3 linked regions of the Callithrix jacchus genome follow. Each later gene encodes a partner of the first gene's protein in a complex. Links are inferred from orthologs where the notes say so. Each region holds a gene or a part of one and is shown on either strand. Other genes may lie near its edges.

Region 1 (7,070 bases):
TACTCGGGAGGCTGAGGATAGGAGAATCACTTGAACCTGGGAGGCAGAGGTTGCAGTGAGCCAAGATCTCGCCACTGCATGCCAGCCTGGGTGACAGAGCAAGACCCTGTCTGTCTGTCTGTCTGTCTCTCTCTCTCTCTCTCTCTCTCTCTCGATATATATATATATATCCCCATCTTACAGGTGAGGGATCTGAGGTATAAAGAGGTTTAATAACTTGTCCAAGTTCACACAACCAGAAAAGGGAGAGAGCTGCGACTTGAGCCCAGCCAGCCTACTACTAGTCTAGAAGCTAAGCGATTCATCTCCATATCTCATAGAATGGTGCAGATGTATCTGGGAGAAGCAGCTGCTCTAGACCTGGAGTCAGGAAAGGATTCTTGGATGGCATCCATACTGAGGCCTGAAGAAAGAGTAAATCTGGCCAAGAGACTGGTGGGTGGGAAGGAGTGGAAGTAGTAGGGGAGTTGTTCTAGGAAGAAGAAACAACCTGTTCAAAGATTCAGAAATGATCAAGGGGACGAGGGTGGAACATGACATTCAGGCTTCTAGCCTGGATGACTGCCATTCACTAAAATGAAAAGCTGCAGGATGGGACACATTTTAGGGAGAAAGAAGGAGTTCTCTGTTTAACCTGTGATGTCTGAAGTGCCTTGAAACATCCAGATTAAGATAGGAGGCATCTGGCCTAGAGTTCTGGCTGATTCTGTTTGTTTATCTAGTGTTCTTTCTTTCTCTGTTTTTTTGTTTGTTTTTGTTTTAGGTGGAGTCTTGCTCTGCAGTCCAGGCTAGAGTGCAGTGGCACGATCTTGGCTCACTGCAACCTCTGCCTCCCAGGTTCAAGTAATTTTCCTGCCTCAGCCTCCTGAGAAGCTGGAACTACACCAGTTGGGATAGCCGAGCCACCGCACTAGGCTCAGTTTTGTATTTTCAGTAGAGACGGGATTTCACCATGTTGGCCAGGCTGGTTTTGAACTCCTGACCTCAGGTGATCTGCCTTTCTTGGCCTGCCACAGGCTGGGATTACAGGCCCGAGCCACCTCACTGGGCCCAAACATTTTCAATTTGCCTATTGCTCCAGGGCTTTCAGATCCAGAAATAAGCCTGGAAAACCTGAAGTCAGAAGTTAGGCACCTTCAAGACATTTTTTTTTTGAGATGGAGTTTTGCTGTTGTTACCCAGACTGGAGTGCAATGGCGCTATCTCGGCTCACCGCAACCTCTGCATCCTGGGTTCCAGCAATTCTGCCTCAGCCTCCCGAGTAGCTGGGACTACAGGCGCGCACCACCATTCCCAGCTAATTTTTTATATTTTTAGTAGAGACAGGTTTCACCTTGTTGACCAGGATGGTCTCAATCTCTTGACCTCGTGATCCACCTGCCTCGGCCTCCCAAAGTGCTGGGATTACAGACTTGAGCCACCGCGCCCGGCAAGACAGTTTTTTAAATTTTAGTACTCTTCTACTCTGCCCTCTGGCTGTGCCCAGATTCACACCTGAAGACTAGTGTTGGTCCCACATCTGCATTTCATCTCGTGCTTCTGAGTGCAGACTCCTCTCCCATCCTCACCCTTGCAACCTCCAGCCCCTTCTCAGACTTCTAAGACCCTGCAGATCCAAAAACATAGCTAGAAATCCAGAGATCCAGATAATTCTTCAAGTATAGCAGCCTCTAGCCGGCTCCTCCCACCCCTTCCCCAGTGGCCTCCAGCTCCTGCCTTTTCCACCCGGCTGATTCCCTTAGTCCTGTTAAGCTCCAATTTCAAGCTCACAGTCTTCCCAGCTCTATGTCTTCCCGTTTCAGTTCTTCACACCACCTCTCCACCTTCTTAGGTCGTCCCTGGCCTCTTCCTCTCTTAGTCCCCTTAATCCCCCTGATGAGCCTAGCCTGATGCTTCCTTCCATGGCTTCTTTGAGCATCTTTGAGCTACCTCTGGTAGCTAGAGCTCCTCTAGGCTCAAGTTCTCCACCTCTGTCCCCTGGGCTCTCTGTGCTCCCACCAAGGCTGACTCTGGTGCCTCCTTCTCTGAGGAGTTTCTGCCTTTCCTCCCCCTAACCCCCTACCAGTCCCCTGCACCTGCCTCCTCAGGGCCTCCCTTGGTATCTCCCTGTCTATGCCCCCTCTCCTCTCCTGTCCTGATTTCTCTCCACTGCCCCCTTCCCCGTCTTTCCCAGGGCACTGTTCTGTCCTGTCAGTTCCTCTGCTCTTGTTCCCATCTCCTGACCCTTAATCTTTGTGATCTGGCTCCGTAGACCCCTGTCTCCCCCTGTCTAGTGGTACTCCTCTGCTAACCATTTTTATCTCCACTCTAACTCTCCCACTAGCTGTCCCAGTCTTTCTCCTCCTTGGTTCTGTGTCTCCCACAGACACACTGTTTCCCTCCCTAGCTAGGTCTCTCTGCGTCTTTTCCATAACTCTTCTTTTCCTCCTTTGTCTCTCCCTCTCTCTCCTCCTCTTCCTATCTGTCTGTCTCTTTCCCCTTTATCTCTCTGATTCTCCTTGGTCTCTCTGGCTCTGACTTTCCCTCTATATCCGCCCCCCACCCCACCCCTCATATCTCTGTCTCTTCATCTCTCTTTGGCGCGCGCTCGCTCGCTCTCTCTCTCTCTCTCTCTCTCTATTCCTCCGCTCTCTCCGGCTCCCTCTCTCGCCTCGAATGACAGCGCTGCCTCTTTTGTTGGCTCCGCAGCCAATCGCGGCCGCTGACGACACGGGGGCCGGGGCTATAAAGGGCCTGGCCCGGACTCGGGCCCCCCCAGCCGCCCGCCCCGGCCGCCCGCCCGCCCCGCCCGCGCGCCCGCCGCCCCCGGCCCCCCGGGTCCCCCCTCGGCCGGGCAGCCCCCAATCCCGCGCCGCCCGGACCCCCTCCTCTTCCCTCCCTCCTCCCCCCGCCCCCTCCCCGCGGGACTCCGGCGTCCCCGCCCCCCAGTCCTCCCCTCCCCTCCAGCATGGTGCTCGCGGCCCCGCTGCTGCTGGGCTTCCTGCTCCTCGCCCTGGAGCTGCGGCCCCGGGGGGAGGCGGCCGAGGGCCCCGCGGCGGCGGCGGCGGCGGCGGCGGCGGCGGCGGCGGCGGCAGGGGTCGTGGGGGAGCGCTCCAGCCGGCCAGCCGCGTCCGTAGCGCCCGAGCCGGACGGCTGCCCCGTGTGCGTGTGGCGGCAGCACAGCCGCGAGCTGCGCCTGGAGAGCATCAAGTCGCAGATCTTGAGCAAACTGCGGCTCAAGGAGGCGCCCAACATCAGCCGCGAGGTGGTGAAGCAGCTGCTGCCCAAGGCGCCGCCGCTGCAGCAGATCCTGGACCTACACGACTTCCAGGGCGACGCGCTGCAGCCCGAGGACTTCCTGGAGGAGGACGAGTACCACGCCACTACCGAGACCATCATTAGCATGGCCCAGGAAAGTAAGTGGGCTGCGGGGCGCGAGCAGTGGGGTGCTGGCTCTGGCCCCCACGAAGGGCGCCTTCTGCTTCTAAGCGGGGCACTCCCTGCTGCCCCTGCCCGGAAGCTTTTTCTGCTAAAACTTGACGAATTAGGGAGCAGGGGCTACTCCATAGAAGTTTTTCGAGCAGTGGAGATGGGCTGCAAAGTTGTATGCACGCCCAGTTCCCGAAGGTTGGAGCGGGGGGGTAAATGGGGCGGGTTTCGAGATACTGCCTTCCACCCCAGTATGCGAAAAAGACCCTTGTTGGAGTCCGGGGACGCTGGGGCTGGGCAGCTAGTCTGTCCTGAAGAGCCGTGATGGGGAGGCTGGAGAACAGAATCCGGAGGCTTCGGGAACCCGGCAACCCCAGCTATGCTCTCTGCCTCCCAATGGCCCTGGCGCTGACTCCTCACTCCGTGCTCTGTCGGCATCGTGTCCATCGGGTGCAGAGAACTGTGTGCTCTGCTCTCTTCCTTTCCCAGGAATAGGGTCCCATAACCTTTACACCTCCTGGCAGCCCAGCTGGCACGCTTTTCATCCTGAGCCTTGTCTCATACCGGGTATCGCAAGGAGCCGGAAAAACTGTGCCTTATTGATACCGACCGAGCTCAGAGAACTCAACTCCATTGCGCTGGGGGCTAAGGACACTCATTGGCTACTCAAACCTTAGTGTTCCATCCCTTATTCGCCCACTCGTTCTGGACTTGAGCGATAGGAAGACCTAGGACTACCTATCTATAGGTAAGACTAGATAGGTAGTCCTAGGTCTTCCTATCTCTCAAGTCCTATCTAGTACTACCACAGCTGGACTTGAGAGATAGGAAGACCTAGGAAAAAAAGATAAAGAAATAGATGGGGGAGCGGGAACCCAGGCATCGGAGTCCCTGACCAAAAGGAAGATGAACATATAATAGACATGAGCTGCTTTGAAATTTTATGGCCTGGAAAATCCAAGGGAATACTACACCCCGCCACCTTTCCAGCTCTCCCTAGGGTCAGGTGACTCCTTCTTCTCCCCCACCCCACTGAGGTCTCCCCCTCCGCCCAACTCCAGGGAACCAGGCCTCTCTTATTCCCTAGCGGTTTGGCAAGGTCCCTCCCCACACACACACCCCCCACAGCCCCCTGCAACACACACACAGTTTGGTTTTATGACTGTGAACAGAAGACGGGGGAGACTGGTTTATTGGCAGATGGGTCATAAAAAGCTGGGGGCTGAGGGGCGTCCCAGTGGCCAACCCCCATGGAAGAGGCACAGGAACCCAGGTGTGCATCTGGGAGGCTGAGTGCCTCACATTGCCACTGGTATTTCTGCAGACCTCAATTCCACAGGACTTGGTCAAGGCTGTTAAATTCAAAGAACCAGGAAACTAACTGGGTGTGGGGGTGGGAGGCATGGGGCATCTGGTCTTGGATTCCTCAGTTTCCCTTCTATTCTTAAGGCTTCTGCTTATGGAAGCTAGGGTCAGTCTCAGATCGACTGAGGGCAGAGGGAGGGAGTGGTGTTTCTAGGAAACAGAGTTATAGAGGAATTCAGATCAAGAGTTTACTGGAAGAAGAAGGTTACATAGGGAAAAGATACTCTAGTCTATATGGTGTAGTGTGTGTGAAGATTTCCAGGATGGGTGATGGGGCTGTGGATTTCCCTTTGCCCCTAAATATCCTTAGCATCCCTTAACCAACAGGCCTGAGCCCACCAGAGTTAGCTCTGGTAATAGCAATACAGGGAAGTGAAGGGACCCTGCCTACAGGAGTTGGGCTGTGCAGGTGAGGCCTGGGTAGGTGGGGAGGGGACACCAGCTGGTGGAATCCCATCCTAACTTCCACTGCCGCCACCCAGGACTGGTACAATTAGGGAACTGTGTCTCCGGCCAGGTATTGTGCGTCCCCTTTAAGAGCCTAGCTGCACTCTTAAGAGAGGGAGGGGGAGTGGAGGGGAGGGGAGGGAGAGAGGGGAAAAGGAAAAAGAGACTTTTATAGTCTAATCCCCAGGGACCCGCTTTAATAAGAGACTTGTGCTCTGCTAATCGGGGGAGGTGTTTGTCAGCAGAGATGGCCTCCATTCCCTTCCCCCTCCGTCCCCTCCCCCAGCCCTCAACCCTGGACCCCAGCCCCCACCTCTCCTAGGCTGCTCTGCCTGCCCTAGTTCCCTCTACCCTCTCAGGCTCTCCCACCGAGGCTTCATCCTGGGAACCCAGCCCCCTGCCCTTCTGGGAACCAAGCCCAGCCCCTGAGTTTCTCTCTCATCCCCACACCAAGAGGCCCCTGCCCTCTCAGCCCAACCTCCTGCCCTTAGGCCTTCCAGCCAGGGTTGGGAGTGTGTGTGTTGGGGGGTTAGGGTGGGGGGAAGGGGAGGAGGTGGTGTGCAGGGAGGGGGTTGGGCATTTGCTGAAAATAGTGCAATGACCTCTCTCTCCCACCAGCGCCGCCTACTAAACCTGACCTGCTGCCTGCCACCAGCCAGATCAATTCAACACAGATGTGGCCCCTTTTCCTCCCCATCAGAGCTCGGCATATGTGTGTTGGGGACTCACTAAAGCCCGGTTTCCCTCTGTGGCTCTACCTGCTTCTCCTTTGTTCCTCCGTCCGTACCCTTTCTATCCTTTCTCTCCTTTACCCCACTAGGTTTAGCTTCCTCCCACCTTTAGCTTTCTACACGGCACCCACTCCTTTCTATCCCTGCCCCTTGCACCAGGATTCTACAACTCCCAAACTTATTCTCCCCTTGCCGTGATCATCCCCTGGGTCTTTCCACTCTGTCATCTATTTCTCTGCCTATCTCTACCAATCTGCCTTCAACTCTAACAGTCTCTTCTCTATTATCTCCCTCACCATCTCCAGTCTCCCCCCCTTGGCTCTTCTCCTTGCTTTTTTCTTTCTCCCTATGTCCTGCCCCCTTGTAGCACTGACTGTCCCCATGTCTACTGGGGGACAAGTATATAGAATCAAAGACTTAGATGTAGCCCTCATCTTCAAACCCTGGGTCAGCTTACGTAGGGGGAGGGTTATGTTTAGAGCTCAGTAGAGAATGCGAAAATAGTAGTAGCTTCTCAATAAATGTTGGTTTGTTCATTTTGTTTTCACATTCTCTAGTTAATGCTCAGCACTCATGTGAGGCAAGAATTATTACTATCTGTATCACACTGCGAAGTTTGGTAAGGTTAGATAGTGGTTAATAAGGAATTAGGCAGTGATTAAACCCACTTCAATTACAGCCAAAGAACAGAATTCAGTTGCCAGGAAGAACTTTCAGGCACTTGCCTGTATAATTTAAGATTGGGAGTTTAGGGAGTTCATTCAACATGTATTTATTGTCTGGCACTATGTGAGGCACTAAAGCTACAATGGTGAGCAAAACAGACACAGTATCAACAACACAGCGTGTACTCTCGTGGAGATCAGTACCTAATGGCAAGAAAATAGACAATTCCTATGGTGAAATTAGGTAGAGTATGCTACTTGTGATATTGCTTGTCACTCCCCATGTCACTAGTAGCTTCTCTACCCCAGCTACTTCTCATCTCTGAATTTTCACTCCCCAAACCCTACTCCATTGCACCATCACCGAAGCTCCAGCCAGTAGAACAACTGGGAGGACTACTACAGCCCTGGAACCTCAGAATAATCAAGGGGAAAAAAAGCTATTGAGGCTTTG
Region 2 (7,110 bases), on another chromosome or scaffold:
CTCAGCTTAGTTCTACGGGACAAAGCATTACAAAAATCCCTGAGAAACATGCCAGCATCTGCCCTCAGTTCCAGAAGCAGGAAGCAAAGATGTGACCCAATCACATGATATCAAACCACAGTCCATCTCTTCAGAACTCTATTATGTAAGCCATGACCAAGGAAGAAGAGCAAAAGGCAAGAGGTTTGTCAACATTCGCAAGGGGCTCTGTGGTTTGAAGAGACATATTTTCATATCAAAAGGGCCATCCACAGGATAACAGCATTTTCAAAACTCAATTCATTACACATGAACATATTTGATACAATAAAATGATACTATAAGAATGGTGCTGAGTCCTTGTAACTCTTCAACTAAGGCCTAGAACCTTTCCTTGTGGGGAAGACCCCTGTTGAAAGATAAAGAACAAGATTTATCTTCCTCTTGATCATTTTTATCATGTCAATTCCTCACTGAATTCCAATAACAAAGCAGATCATCTATTATTCTAAACCAAGGCCTTTTAATTACACCCAATTCAATTAACAGTACTTATCCAAGACTACCTTCCAAACTACTATAGGCCTATGTTTCTCAGTCAGTATTATACCAGGTCCTTTTATCAGCAATTAAAAAAAAAGAATCCTGACCTTTCCCTTGAGGACTTTTAGCCTTTAATCACTCCCCTTCCCTTCTACCTTTAGAATTCACTTTTCATAAATTGTGTGAAGTGCAAGGCCTATTTCACTTAGGTAAGTCACTCCATTAACCTCGTCCCACGCCCACCTCCATGTCCTTCACATTTTAAAGCAGAATATAGGGCACAAGATTTGGAATCAGAAAATCAAAGTTCCTGTCTCTGTTCTGCCCTTTGTCACCCTAAGAAATTCACCTAATCTGAGTTTTTTCATCTGTAAATTGAAGTGACAATATACTTAGGACTTTCACCAGCTGAATGCCTAGCCCTAGTGGGCATCCTATAATGTTATTCTCTCTCATTTACTCCACTTTGATTACTTTTATGCTTTGTTTCCAGCCATGTACTATAGCCTTTAGGATTGGGGGGAAAAATGATAGAGGTTAATACATCCAAATCCCACAGTAAAGAATAAGGAACCTAACTTTGAAGAGTAACTTGCCAGTCAGTAAAAGCTTTGTTTCCTCCCTTGGAGTGGGGGCCCCAGTACAGTTGGAGACACACTTTTAGAGAACTTTCATACTCATCAAATCCCCCTCTGAATTGTACCCACCCTTCAAAGTCAGCTTAAGTCCTAAACTGTCCAGAAAGCCTCCCCCAATCACTCCAGCCTACACTAATCATCTCCCTTTTTGAATACTAATGCCTCCCTACAGGGATGACATTAAAAATATTTAACAACTGGCACTACAAGGGTACCAACCAACCAGAAAGGATGTTTAACCAAAAAACACATGGCCCAGTGGGAACTGCTTGTTGAATATCAGTCCTGATCATTAGTAACAATACAGAATAGCAACCTCAAACTCAAATACCACTTTCTCATGTGATCTTCACAATCTCATGAATTAGGCAAAAGCAGGTATTGCCCCTATTTTCTGCATAACTGGTGGTGAAGGTGGGACTAATAACCACTTGCCTTCACCACACCACACAATATTTCCTGATTATTTATACAGAATTATAAGTTAATATTGCATAAACTGGACTTAGATAAAACAGTATAAATACTAAAGGAATGCTCAAATAGAAATCAACAAGCATCTATGTGGAATAGAATATAAAACACAGTGCTAAGTTCTGAGGCCATAAAGCAAAGAAATGGCATGAATCTCGTCCTCTAGGTATCTACAACATATTCAAGTGTAGTTAAATTGCAGTGCAGACAGTAGAAATGGACAACACAAACTGTAAGTGTTGCAGAGTTCTGGAAGACAAAGAATTCAAGAACTAAACCAGTACAGGAAGTCAGGACTGAGAACTTCTTACACTCCCAAAAAAGGGGCAAAATTAAATGTGTAGTGAAAAGCTGAACAGTCAGGAGTCAGTGAGAAATAGAAATTGCTTGAAGGTCTGCAGTAATGAGAAGTGAGATTCCTGGTAGGATACTCAGAGATGGCCCCAATCATAAGCTGCTGAAGTGTTTCTCTAAGTGCTGAATACAAATGGGAAATCATATAAACCTTTATGGGGATGGCTGAGGAAGATTAGTTTGGCAGTAGCCCATAGAAAAGCTTAGAAGAGAGAAACATGGGAAAGCAACTAGATTTGGAGGATAACAGGCAGGATTAAGCTGAAGGCTGCATACCAAGAAAGGAGGAGACATTCAAGAGGCATTAATAGAAACAAGAGTTGGATTTAGAGCATGTTTCCAAAGAAAAAATGTTATGAAATGGCAGAAAGGAAGCAAACAGCATTCTCACAAGGGATATTCATATAGACACAGTGGTACTAAACCGTGTACTAGCGACAAGGAATCAATTTTCCTAGAGAAATCTATGTTGGGGAGAGAAGTTGGGCAGAGAACAATAAAACATACTCAGAAAATAAGAAACTGCACTCTTTTTAAAAGGGAAGTAAAATTACAGAGAGAAAAAAAAGCATTTGACCTTTTTCAGAATGTTATTTTAAGGGTGGACTGAGACATCATCATAACCAATAAGAAAGGCAGAGAAGCTGAGGCAGTCTGGGCTTAGAGTAATATGCACCTGGACAGCTTTGTACTGTGTACATGCCACAGAGACTGTAAACTCCCCCAGGACATGGACTGAGCAATGTTCTGTGTATCCAACTAAGTCCACCTACTGTTACTTGAATACATGAACACTTCCTGTGCTACTTCTGGTGGAAAAGAGGGCACTATGTTATTCAAGTTAATAGTGGTGTGGAAATGTTACCTATGTTTCCCCCTAACTATATTGATTCTCCCAATCTGTCCACACAGTTATCTTGCCTTCCTCCCTAGGCCAATGTCAAAAATCCATTGTTTCCTCTAATGCAGGCCCACGTGAAGGGACTCAGGAATGTGCTAAGAGTCAGAATGAAGCCTATCTGACATTCATATCATGAGGACAGAATCTAAAAGTGAATAATAAAGACCAGTTGCTCATCAGATGAAGAAAAATGGGCTATGCCAGGTAGTATGATGTATACATGTTTGCGTGTGTATATACATATTTATATATATATGTGTGTACAGGTTTTGGAAACTGAGATCTGAGTGAAAATTCTAGCTTTAGCACTTAGTGACTGCATACTTAAGCAGACCCAGGGGTCTGCACCCCACTTTTCAAATCTTTAAAGTGGGGCAAATGCCACAAGTCCTGAGAGTTTGGTTGTGGTGATTAAATAATGTACGTATCCAATAGTGTACTTTATGCATTTACATCATAGTAATGCATAATACATAGACGGAGGCTATTAGGACTAATTATAATCATCATCTTCAGTCTTGATTTTTAAAAGAATTTTCAACATTTTTGTACAGTTTCAGAAACAGAAATGTAATTTCACTGCATTTTAGTTGCTAAGACTGAGGCTCTGATTTTAGTTTCTACTGTCTTAATTCAGCTGCTAACAAAGTTTTCCACTCATCACTTTGTGGATGCCAACCACCTACCCCGACCTGATTTAATACTTGGAAAAACTCAGCGAACATTCTTCCTTGAAAACCAGCTACCAGATGTATCATTCAAACTATTAACTGTCACTCAAGAAAAGGAACATCGCAAGTGATGTTCCTTCTAGGAAATAAAAGCGTTGAATCAATTCACAGTCATTCCCCAAATTTCCAAACCCTGTAGAGTGAGCAAACGTTCAAGTTTCCACTACGAAAACAATCCGTAGCCTTCTGGTTACTGGACTCACTTCAACACTCCTCAGGCGCACGAAAGAAGGAATACTCCGCGCATCTCCACGCTTCCTTCTTCTCACACAAAGCCCCCTTGGCTGAAGGAGCAGACCCTTCCAGCAGGGTCGGGCCGGGCGGGAGTCAGGGCAGCTTGCAGACCCGGGGGTCTCACCACATGTCGACCCCCGACTCCCACCCCGGGAAGCCCTCGCGGCTCGGAGCTCACACCCCGCCCGGGAGCCGCCTTCCCCCCAACCCCAAAACCCGCCCGGGACCCCAAGACCACGCCGTTCCCTGGGGGGCGGCGGCGGTCGGCAGCCACCGCTCTGCCAGTCCCCGCCCGTCTCGCATCCTCCGCCCCTGGCCCTAACCCACGCACACCCCACAGGGCAGCCCCGGCCCTCGGACGACTCCGTCCGACTCCACCTCCCCGGGGGAGTCCCGAGCCGGACGGCCTCAGGCTGCCCGGCACGTTCACCCGTGCCCGGACACACGCCCCTGCCCCGCCTCCGCTCCCCGCTTGCGGTTCGCCCGGCTGCCACCGAGCCGCTCGGGGCCACGAGAGCCCGGTTGGGGCCACGAGAGCCCGGTCCGGGCCCCGGCGCTGCCACCTGCGCCCCCGGCCCCGCGCCATGTTTGAGAAAGAGCAGTAGCGAGCCGGAGGCCGGGCCCGGCCCGCGCGCCCCGCAGTCGCCCGCCCGCCCGCCGCGCCGCGCTGCCGCTCACCCGTCGCCCCCGGGAGCAGCAGCGCCGCCGCCGCCGCTGCCGCCGCCAGCACAAGGAGGAGCAGTCGGGGACGCGGAGCAGCGGCCGCCGCCTCCATGGTCCCGCCGCCACCGCCTGTGGCCCGGCCCGGCCCGGCCGCCGCCTCACCCCAGCAAACCTCGCCTCGCCCCACCTCCCCCGCCGCCGCGGCGGCCCCGCTTCGGCCCTTTGTAACTGCTCGGGGGACGTGCGTCCATTGGCTGCCGGGCTCCCGCCGGCCCCGCCTCCCCGCCGCCGCGAGCGGCCGAGCGGGACCCAGCCACGAGCCCCGCCCGCGGGCCCACCGGGCAGCCAATCCGGAGCCGCGCGCCCCGGCCTCTGGCCACGCCCCACGCTCCCCGGGGGACGGGCCGCCAGACCCCTGCCCCGGCCAGAGCTGCTCCCGGCTCCGCGAGGCGGTGTGGGGGCGGGATCGGCCAGACCCAGCGCCGCCGAGCCGCTAGCCCCGGAGGGCCGGGTAGAGCGAAGGGTGTGTCTGTGTGAGTCGCTTTCGGGAAAAGGCTGTGGCCGCTCGACTCTCTTTTCTTCTAACCTCCTCTAGGCGCGGAAGATCTCGTACTGCTTCAGCCCCACGCTGACCCCATTCACTGCTCCGCACCGGCAATCCCTGCATAGGCCACTCAGATCCGCTGCAGCGCCAGGCCCTGCATGCACTTCAACTTCCCCTCTCCAAGTCCACGCATCAACTTCAGCATTCCCCCGAAGATCTTTCCTCCGCGCCCTTCACATGCGACTCAGTCTCCTGTTTCCTCATGCTTGGAGCGGTCATCCCGAACCTAGCTCCCCCACCCAATTCCAAACCTAGGAAGTCCTCAGATCCCAGCCTCAGACCCAGATCCTGACCCCAAACACACCCCCAAATAGCCTCCCGCCTCACTCCGGAACAGGCACAGGATGGGGATCCAAGCCGCTCTCGCCTCATCCCCCTTCCTGATCCAGGTTGGAAAGGGAGGGTCCCCACCCCAACCCCTCAAAGGAGGGGTTCCCCCTTCTTAGAACCCAGCTCCCGCGGGGTGGAGGGGGAGCAGTCATTACTTTGAGCTGTGTCTGACACTCCTGTATAATAATCCTGAGGTGTCACTAAAAACCCAAATAAACTACGTTTTCATTCCGAATTCCTAATTTACTGCGAGACGCTCCACCCACCTTTCCTCCGCGACGCCAAAATGAGCTCCAGATTTGTAATTCTTCCTGTCAGACTAGTCCTTTCTTCAGACACAAACACAGCCAAGGAGGCTGTTACGTAGAACAGAGAATATTTTCCCTCAGAACCTTTTAAGGAGAAAGTTTTATTTCCTGTGTCATTTGAGCTTGGAATTAAATAAACCTTGATAGCAGGAATCAGAACCAGCCTCTAATGTCAACTTGTGCACTACTTCAGAGTCACTGGGTGAGCATTTTCCCCACCTGTGAAGGTTTCCTTCCTGGAGATGAAAAGGGAAAGGACGTGGATATTGGAGCTGGGATCTGAGACCTGCGTGCTTTCTCCCTCCTGGCTGGGACACTACTTCGGCAAAGTCAGCTAACCTTTCAGAGTCTCCAGCAGGCTCAGAGGCCTGCAACTTGCTCTAGACTGCAGCGCCAGCAGCCTCAGCAGCGAACTCCCCTCTTGTTCAGACTGAAGGATTCCAGAAAGACGGTTTCTGGCAGGCTCCAGTCCCAATTTGCCCTCTCGGTTCCAGTTTCTTCAATGGAGACTTGGTGGGCTTTGTGCCAAGAGGTCTCTAGATTGCCTTTTTGCTGCTCTATTTGCAATGTCTTGCATAAGATAAGAGCTAATGAGATTTTGATTGTGTGAATGAATGAATGATCTCAAAGTGACTGTTTTTCTTTGGCCTTTAGCTTCCTCATCTCTAAAATGTAAATAATAATAGTACCTACCCCGTTTATAAATGAAAGGGATTGAATCACTTGTCTTGGGCTCCTTAGATGATGTAATGTGTCTGGTACAGTGTCTGGAACATAGTAAATATTTAGTTAATGCCATTTCTTTGCCCATCCCCTTCCAGCTCCGTATGATTCTAATCAGCATGTGTGTTCATGTTAGTCTGTGCCCTTGACGTACAGAGCCTAGATTAATCAGTGTTAATCACACCTCCAGTTCCTTAACATTTTCCATGGAATTGAGTAGATTCAACAGAAAGGAAAAACAGACCGGTTTTTAAATTTTAACATCCTGATACTAGGAGGAAATTTCCATGAACAACAGATCCATAAATAAACTACACTAGAATGGAACACTAAATTAATAGTTTAAAATCATGGTTCCCAAATTGTAAAGTGTCTCCAAATTACCTGGAGAGCTTTTAATAATGCAGATTCTTGGGTCTCACTGGGTCTTAGCAATTCTGCTTCAGTTCTTCTGGAGAAGGTTCAGGAATCTGCATTTGTAATAGACATCATAGTTAATTCTGTTGCAGGTGGCACTAGGCCAGCTTCAAAAGACTGGTATACTTAAAATTCAGTAAATAAAAATGCATGACCTTATTTGCCTTTTGAGAAAGGTTGGATGGGCAGTGGAAAGAAGCCGCTGGCTTTG
Region 3 (6,984 bases), on another chromosome or scaffold:
AGTAAAGCAAACAGCAAAGCACACTACCAAAGCAAAAGAAATAGGGGTGAACAACTGGAAATGGATTTTTAGAGGCAGCCCATTGATGATCACTGGATAAGTCCTAAAAGCCAAGAAACGTTGCAGATAATTTTTCTGTGGATTACTGAATTGCTGGTGATACTCAGCAGCTATTTAACTTGAACAGAAATGGATTTTGTGGGAGATCTGCTTGCTTTCTAAGTGCCCATTCCCTAGGGGTTGCCCGGGAAAGCCTTAAATGGCAGCAAGGTTAAAAATCGCACTTACAGTTGCAAGATCCGGAGTGCTTTACTTCCAGCAGCACACCTGAGGAGCAGGCAGCTTCCTTCATAGCACACTCACTGGCATAAGTGGCATTGTCACTGGCACAGACAGGCTCATCCGACTTACTGTCAGGGCACTGCTCATCACAGAGGGAACACCGGCCTCTCCCAACCTTGAAATCCCATAAACATTTTTTCCCACCAGTGCACTGGATATCTTCACAGGACTTTGCTTCTAGGATACAATACATTTGTGATGAGTAAACTGACTTCCCCATATCCCCCTTTTCTCCCTTTCTCCTAAACATAATTTCTATGTTATTACAGATGGGCTAATGGAGCTTTTACGCAAAAATGCTGGATAATAAAACTGAAACTCAAATGCACACACACACATACACACACAAAAATCCCCTGCAGTTTCTTACATACTACATTAGTGTATGAAAATAGTATTTTTTTTGGAACAAGATGTTACAATATTCTTGAGTTAAATATGTATCTTATTATTTCCCACAAGTGGGATATTTTGCAAAAGAAAGAATTCCATCAATTACTAGAATCTGATAACAGATTTCAGGAATTGCTAAGTAATTATTTTTCGCTTCCAGCAAGTCTGGCACTTAAAAAAATGTGTAAAATTGAGTGAGTTCTAAGTTTTCTAAGATGAAATACTGTTTTTTGCTTCCTGCTGGCATTTAAATATATGTCAATGCCTCCAGAAGAACGGTTTCCATGAGGAATGCTGTGGTCACAACAGTTTCCCCAAATTGCAGCGTGTTTCTCCCTATGGTGTCTGGGGATGGCTTGGGCTTTACTTATTAGTTAACCCCACAGTTTAACACCAGAACTAGCCTGTTTTCACTTTTTCTTTCCTCAATCCAGAATACCTACTGATACACTTTCCCTCATAGGCTAATCCAATAGATCTGCCCAGCAGGCAGGTAGCCTTTCTCAGGTGGCAGGCACTGGAGTAGGTGACTCCATCATTCCCACAGATATATTGCTCAGAGGAAGTGGGCTCTGGGCAAATCCGATTACAGGTCACACAGTAGGCATTATTGGTCTGGTCCACCACACACGTGGAGCTGCCTGGACAGAAAACATCCCGACAGGTCTCTGGAACAAAGAAGGAAACACACATGAAAAGGTACCGTCTAGTCGTTAGGGAATGAGCACTTGAAGTTACTAAGGAAATCATGACACTGAAGCATCCAGCTTTCCAAAGGCATTTTGGGAGCCCTGTGGTTTTCAATAGAGAATCTATGACTCTAGGTTAAGAACATTAACGCCCTCAGCGTTCTTAATGAGTCTTGAGAAGTTAGAAAAGGACTCCTTTATTTGGTTTCAGTCTTATTATTATCAGGCTCTTACTGTGGACTACACTATCCCCCAGGGGTCTGCTAGAGGGTCTACTTTAGGTACAAAGCTGGAGGAGGGGCACAGATCCAGTCTTGCTCAACAGGGGAGGACCTACTTTTACATCTGCCTTGGTACTGGACTTCCAGTTCTGGCTGATCTTTACATCTCGCCTTTAAGAGCGCACATTCACTGCGGTAGGTTTTCCCATCCAGCCCGCAGACTGGACCCTTCCAGGTGATGTTGGAACAATCCGGGGCGCAGACGCAGCGCGGTTTGTTCTTCTTGTTCATTCGGCATTTTTTCCCGGGTCCACAGTCCACGTTCTCACACGTTTCTGTGAGTTGGAAACAGGAATGGATTAAAACCAGAGCCAGGCAGTCTGCAGGTCAGCCAGGAGGGCTTCGGGTGCCTTGCGCAATCCTGCAGCCCTGAGTTTGCGCTGGAGGGGCCCAGGCTCTCTCCTAGAAGATTGGGAGGTGGTGAAAGAGTGCGGACCTTGGGCTATGCCCCAAGCCCAGATCTCTCTCGTCAAGGAGCACGGGTTGGCGGGCTTCACCACCACACTTGGCTAAGAAGTCTGGGGTGTTTTGCCTACAGCTTTTAACATGCAGAATTCGAATTTGCAAGGGGAAGAAAGGGGAAGCCCATGAACAAAGCTCTCCAATCCCAAAGCCCAGCCAGGTAGCGGGGAAGCTGAAGGGGTATACGCCCTCTACTGAGGGCCTGCAAGTCGGGAGGGACTCCTACCTTTACAGGGGATGCAGTTGGGGGCGCCCCCATTGAAAATCATCCACTTGAAGAGTGTGTTGTCATTCACGTCCTCCTCGGTCCACGAGGTGCTCAGACGGCCGGTGCTGCAGCACTCCTCCTTGCTCAGTTCGGTCTTGTACAGAACCTGGCAGCGGCCATTCTTGGCTTGACGGAGCCAGCAGTTTCCAGCTGTGAAGAGACAGGGGTGGGGAGGTGGGTGAGTGAGCGGTGGCGGGGCAGGGGGAGGGGGTGGTTAGTAAAGGAGACCCGGCGGTGCGGACGGGAAGGGTGATCACGGAGGAGGGGAAGCGAGAGAGACGCTGGAGAAGCGGGGGGGAAAGTAGGAAATAAATCGAAAGGGGTGGAGGGGTGGGAAAAGAAGGTGGGGGGAAGCCCTGATCCCAAAGATGGGAGGTGGGCGAGAGGGAGGGAGGGAGAGAGGGAGAAGACAGAGCGCCCCAGCCATATCAATGTCAGTTACCAGTGACCCAGACACAACACGTGCAGCTTGCATTGACTTTTACTAGACTGTTTACTTTTATTCGTCCCATTTCATAACCTGCAGCGACTCGAAGAGCAGATTAAAGAACCTGACAAAAACAGGATGCGACGGATGTTTTTACATGTTGGTTTCATGTAGGCGGTACAGGAATTATTTGTGACAGGGGTTAAGAAAGTGGGAGAACGAGAGAGGGGAGAGAGAGACGAGACGGGGGGGCAGAGAGAGAGAGAGAGAGAGAGAGAGAGAGAGAGAGAGAGAGAGAGAGAGAGCAGATCAAGCAAAAGGCACTTGTGAAAAATGAAAGCAAAAAAAGCAACCCAGCCCAGCACGGAGCTACCCCGCGCGGCCTGGAGGCGCAGCCCGCCCGACGGGCCCGTTTTGCAATCCGCCAGACCCGGAGCACGCCTGCGGCCACCGCGATCTTTCGAAATCTCCGAGCGCTGCTTTCCTCCGCGCCCACGTCCAGGCACCAGGCAGCGCCTCTCCCCGAAAGGCGGGCAACCCAGCGCAGTGCCATGCAGACGGGGAGGGGCAGTGGCCAGGAGCGCAGTATACAACACACTTAAAATGTTAACGCTGAAGCAGGGAAAGTAATGCCTTAAAGGGGGCAGGTTTCCTACCATTTCACGGTTATACGTGCCTACTTCATACCTAGCAAGAAATCTTTGCAAGTGATTTATCCCTCTTCCCCCATTTTAAATGTTCGGATTTGGGCCGGGAAGACTTCTCACGAATCACCAATATGACTTTAACAATCATTGGACTGTAAACTGCTATTATTATTTTAAACATTCTGCCCAAAGACTAATTGAAATAAACAAATCTATTTTTTAAAGGCAAGCTTCAGAAATTTGCTGTTAGCCCATTTCAGAATTCAAGTCAGTTATGGGCTGCTCGCTGTTTTACAGAAGGCTAAGAGTCAGAAAGAAGAATGAGGCGGAGGGAAAAAAAACTAAAGTGCTGAAAGCACTTCGGGGTAATAATTTGGCTCCTTTTTTTTCTTTGCGGGGATGGGGGATGGGGTTGGAAGAAGCATCCACTAGGCAGAAAGCTACTTCCCTTGAAAAATTTCAGCACCCACATTTCCAAGTTTGGGCAAAGTTTCTGAAACCACGTCCCCCAGCCTCCGAAGAAAATTTCAGTATATCTCCCCCAACCCCCAGGTTCTCCCCCGCTTTTCTTAAAGTATTCGAAAGATCTGGGAAGGAGAGAAACTGCAAATGGGTCCACTGAAATCTCCAGGCTACTACTGATACTTGCTCCCTTAGTCAGACCCACAGAGGAGATCACATCTAAAGTTATCATGGCCAGAACTTGGAGCATCTAACCCTAACTACTCAGACCCCAGCTCGCTCCTTTTCCTTTTTCAAGATTACCGAGCTCCAAACTCCGTTCCCAGTCCTAAAGTGTCATTGCCTTCAATTTTCCCACTCCTCTCCATCCCGGAGTCCCCAAGTTGGTCCAACATCTTCCGAGAGCAGCGTTGCTCAGAACAGACCAAGTGGAGACCACAGAAAAGTCGACCCCCTTGCCCTCAGTCGAGCCTCCCCAGCGCATCCCCCCTCGCTTACCCTGGGCACTGCGGTCTTCCATGAACTGGCAAAGCAGCAGCAGCAGGAGGCAAAGCCCACCGGGCTGGTGCCTGGCGCGGACCATCCTGGGGGCAGGCGCAGGGCGAGTAGCGCGGCGGTGCCGGGAGCCGGCGCGGTGGCGGGTGGTTCGGGTGAGCGGCGCGCGTCGCAGAGGCCAGCGGCTGAGGGCGCAGCGATCCCGGCTCAACCCCGCGCTCGCCGCCCGCCGCCCGCGCGATTCAATGGACGTCAGAAGCCGGGCGCAGCCGCGCTTTAAATCTAGACGGGGGTCTCCGCGGTTTGCGGTGGGCGGTCTCCCAGTGTGTGGGGCAGTGGGAGGGCGGCCGCGAGCGAGGGTGTGCGCGGCTCCTTGGGGGTGGGGAGCTTTTAAAAGTTCAGTGTGAATCAGGTGACATTTCCCACCTTCTGGAAACCCTTCCCAATTATCTTTCGGAGGTGCCCGAAATCAAAACGACTGGAGGGGAATCGTCGAGTTCTTATTTGCGTAGGAGCGAGAGGGAGGGGGAAGGCGACCGGGGCGGGGGGTGGGGGCGACGCATCGGGGGTGGGGAGTGGGGAAGAACACCCACTTCAAGTTCTGCTCGCCGCCGCTCGCCGGCAGCGCCGGCGCGCCCGGGGTGGCGGGTGTGTGTGTGTGTGTGTGTGTGTGTGTGTCTGTGTGTGAGTGTGTGCGCGCGCGAGTGTGAGAGGGAGGGCGCGGTGGGGGCGTTGGAGGCGACGGCGGGGGGAGCTGGGGGAACCCGGGAGTTAGTCTCCGTGCTGGCGCTCCTCCGCTCCAGAGACTTTGCAAACGCCCGGAGAGCCCCGGGCTGCCCAAATATCCCGCCCCGGGTCTTGTCGGAGAGCGCCGGCCTCGGGGCAGTTCCCGGCCCCCGCAGCCTGGGCGCGGGGCCGGCGGGGTTTTGTGTCTGGGTCTGTGCGTGCCTGACTTTGCGGCCACCCCCAGCTCAGAGTTGTTGCTAGGAACCCCGGCCCCGGCACCTTCCACCCTGGCGGAGCGCTGCCCAGACGCGGCCCTTCGTCTGGGCGAGTCAGAAGCAAACAAAAATGTTTAACACCTCAGGCCCGGCCTCCCCCCGGCACAGTCTCGCCCTCTCCCTTTCTTTTCTCCCCTTTCACTTCGCAGCGTCTGGAGTCGGAGCCCGGAGCGGGGGCGCCGACGTAGGCGGTCTGGCCCCCCTTCCTCCCTTGCCCGGAGACTCCCCAGTTTCTGTCCTGTGTGCCTCTCTCAGTCTCCTCGGCTCCAGCCTCTCTCTCTCTCTCTCTCTCTCACTCTCTCTTTCTCTCTCTGTCGCTCTCTCTCTCGTCTTCTCTCTTTTCGCGGAATAAAAAAGATTGCAACATCCATAATGAACTTCTGTAGCCTCAGTTTATTAAGTACAGTGCCTGGCATTCTTTGCTGAAAGTTGGCGGGTCTCTCATTTATAACATTTTTTGGCACCGCTGAATGAAACTGAGGAGGCGATATTTCCTTTTATATAAAACGATTACTTCACGGAAAATGCTATATTGTTTATTCCAAAGCTGCCTCTTAAATGTCTGTTCTTTTCGCTTCTGAAGCCCGAAGGACAACAGACAGCGAAGTATGCAGACAAGATTCTTGGACATTCGCAGGTCACTGGGATTTGTTCTCCTACGGATTTCAAATCGGCCCTTCTTCCCCCTCCCGCCCCCTGCAACTCCCCTCCCTCTGCCAGACCCTCCCCCAGTCTTCCTCTCGCCCTCCCACCCCCCATCTTCCAGCAACCTTCCCCCCTCCACAACTGCAAATAACTCAGTGATAACAGATTTTTTTCCACCAACTGCAGGAGATAGTGCTAATCTTTTAATAAAAGATCCCATTACAATGGGATCTGTCTGGACAGACTATAATAGATCCCGAAATACAGCCGTGCTAATATTAGAAGACAGTTGTTTGGGTGCCTCTCAGACGGGCCCAAGCCCCCCTTTGAAAGTGGGCATGAATCACAAAGCCCCGCGGCCGCCGCACCTGCACCGCGCGCATTCGGTGCAGCAGGCTGGTAAAAACGGGTGACCTCGCCGCCGCTTTTCGCTTTATAATTACCGTCGTGAGGACGGGAGGGGAGGGGCTCGGGCGGCCCGGGGGAGGCTGGCTTTTTGCTCACTTCAGACGGCTGTGGGGGCTCCACATGCTTCTTAATCTTTCCAGAATCATGTTGTCTCTGTTTCTGTCTCGCTCTATGTCTCTCTCCCCTTCTTTCTTTCCCTCCCTTTCTCTCACCCATTCCCTCTGTTCTCTTTCCCCGACTCCTTTCCCTCTTCTTTCCTTCCCTCCTTCTACCCGGACTCTACCCAGACTCGCCCTCCCTTTTCCCCTTCTCTTTCTTTTCCCGTCTCCTTTTCTCTCTTCCCTCCAACTCATTAATGTAGAGTTGTTTAGTGCCCTCTAATGGCAGACGACATTAACAATTAATAGAAAACTGTCCCCTTTGCAGGAGCCGCCACTCAATGGCAGAGTTCCAAAGCTGAATTT

What was found. The genes of interacting proteins can lie anywhere in the genome.
Region 2: the proteins of GDF11 (region 1) and TGFBR1 are in contact, whole or in part, in a crystal structure (PDB 6MAC), measured with the Homo sapiens proteins. The link is inferred for Callithrix jacchus from reciprocal best matches to the Homo sapiens genes GDF11 and TGFBR1. Residues at the interface, in NP_005802.1 of Homo sapiens: Phe322, Ala324, Phe325, Gly326, Trp327, Trp329, Ile330, Met382, Tyr384, Phe385, Asn386, Asp387, Ile392, Ile396, Pro397, Met399; in NP_004603.1 of Homo sapiens: Ile78, Pro79, Asp81, Arg82, Phe84, Ala87, Pro88, Ser89, Ser90, Lys91.
Region 3: the proteins of GDF11 (region 1) and FST are in contact, whole or in part, in a crystal structure (PDB 5JHW), measured with the Homo sapiens proteins. The link is inferred for Callithrix jacchus from reciprocal best matches to the Homo sapiens genes GDF11 and FST. Residues at the interface, in NP_005802.1 of Homo sapiens: Asn299, Leu300, Gly301, Leu302, Glu310, Arg312, Asp328, Trp329, Ile331, Ala332, Lys334, Arg335, Tyr336, Lys337, Tyr347, Met348, Phe349, Met350, Pro354, His357, Gln361, Ile380, Asn381, Leu383, Phe385, Asp387, Lys388, Gln389, Gln390, Ile391; in NP_037541.1 of Homo sapiens: Leu34, Arg35, Gln43, Val44, Leu45, Tyr46, Lys47, Thr48, Arg60, Ser62, Asp72, Asn73, Leu75, Phe76, Met79, Ile80, Leu134, Asp135, Arg149, Gln153, Pro154, Glu155, Val180, Val181, Asp182, Gln183, Tyr188, Val190, Thr191, Asn193.

Annotation. Positions count from the first base shown.
Region 1 is NC_133510.1:63,909,961-63,917,030, reverse strand, and holds the start of GDF11 (growth/differentiation factor 11), read left to right. Parts: upstream 1-2,756; 5' UTR 2,757-2,947; coding exon 2,948-3,395; intron 3,396-4,031; exon of another isoform or gene 4,032-4,156; intron 4,157-5,838; exon of another isoform or gene 5,839-5,977; intron 5,978-7,070. UniProt on the Homo sapiens protein: Secreted signal that acts globally to regulate anterior/posterior axial patterning during development. May play critical roles in patterning both mesodermal and neural tissues. It is required for proper vertebral patterning and orofacial development.
Region 2 is NC_133502.1:147,221,455-147,228,564, reverse strand, and holds the start of TGFBR1 (TGF-beta receptor type-1), read right to left. Parts: upstream 4,718-7,110; 5' UTR 4,630-4,717; coding exon 4,533-4,629; intron 1-4,532. UniProt on the Homo sapiens protein: Transmembrane serine/threonine kinase forming with the TGF-beta type II serine/threonine kinase receptor, TGFBR2, the non-promiscuous receptor for the TGF-beta cytokines TGFB1, TGFB2 and TGFB3.
Region 3 is NC_133503.1:156,370,025-156,377,008, forward strand, and holds the start of FST (follistatin), read right to left. Parts: upstream 4,718-6,984; 5' UTR 4,555-4,717; coding exon 4,470-4,554; intron 2,586-4,469; coding exon 2,394-2,585; intron 1,981-2,393; coding exon 1,762-1,980; intron 1,404-1,761; coding exon 1,179-1,403; intron 520-1,178; coding exon 289-519; intron 1-288. UniProt on the Homo sapiens protein: Multifunctional regulatory protein whose primary function is to antagonize members of the transforming growth factor beta (TGF-beta) superfamily including activin, myostatin, GDF11 or bone morphogenetic proteins (BMPs).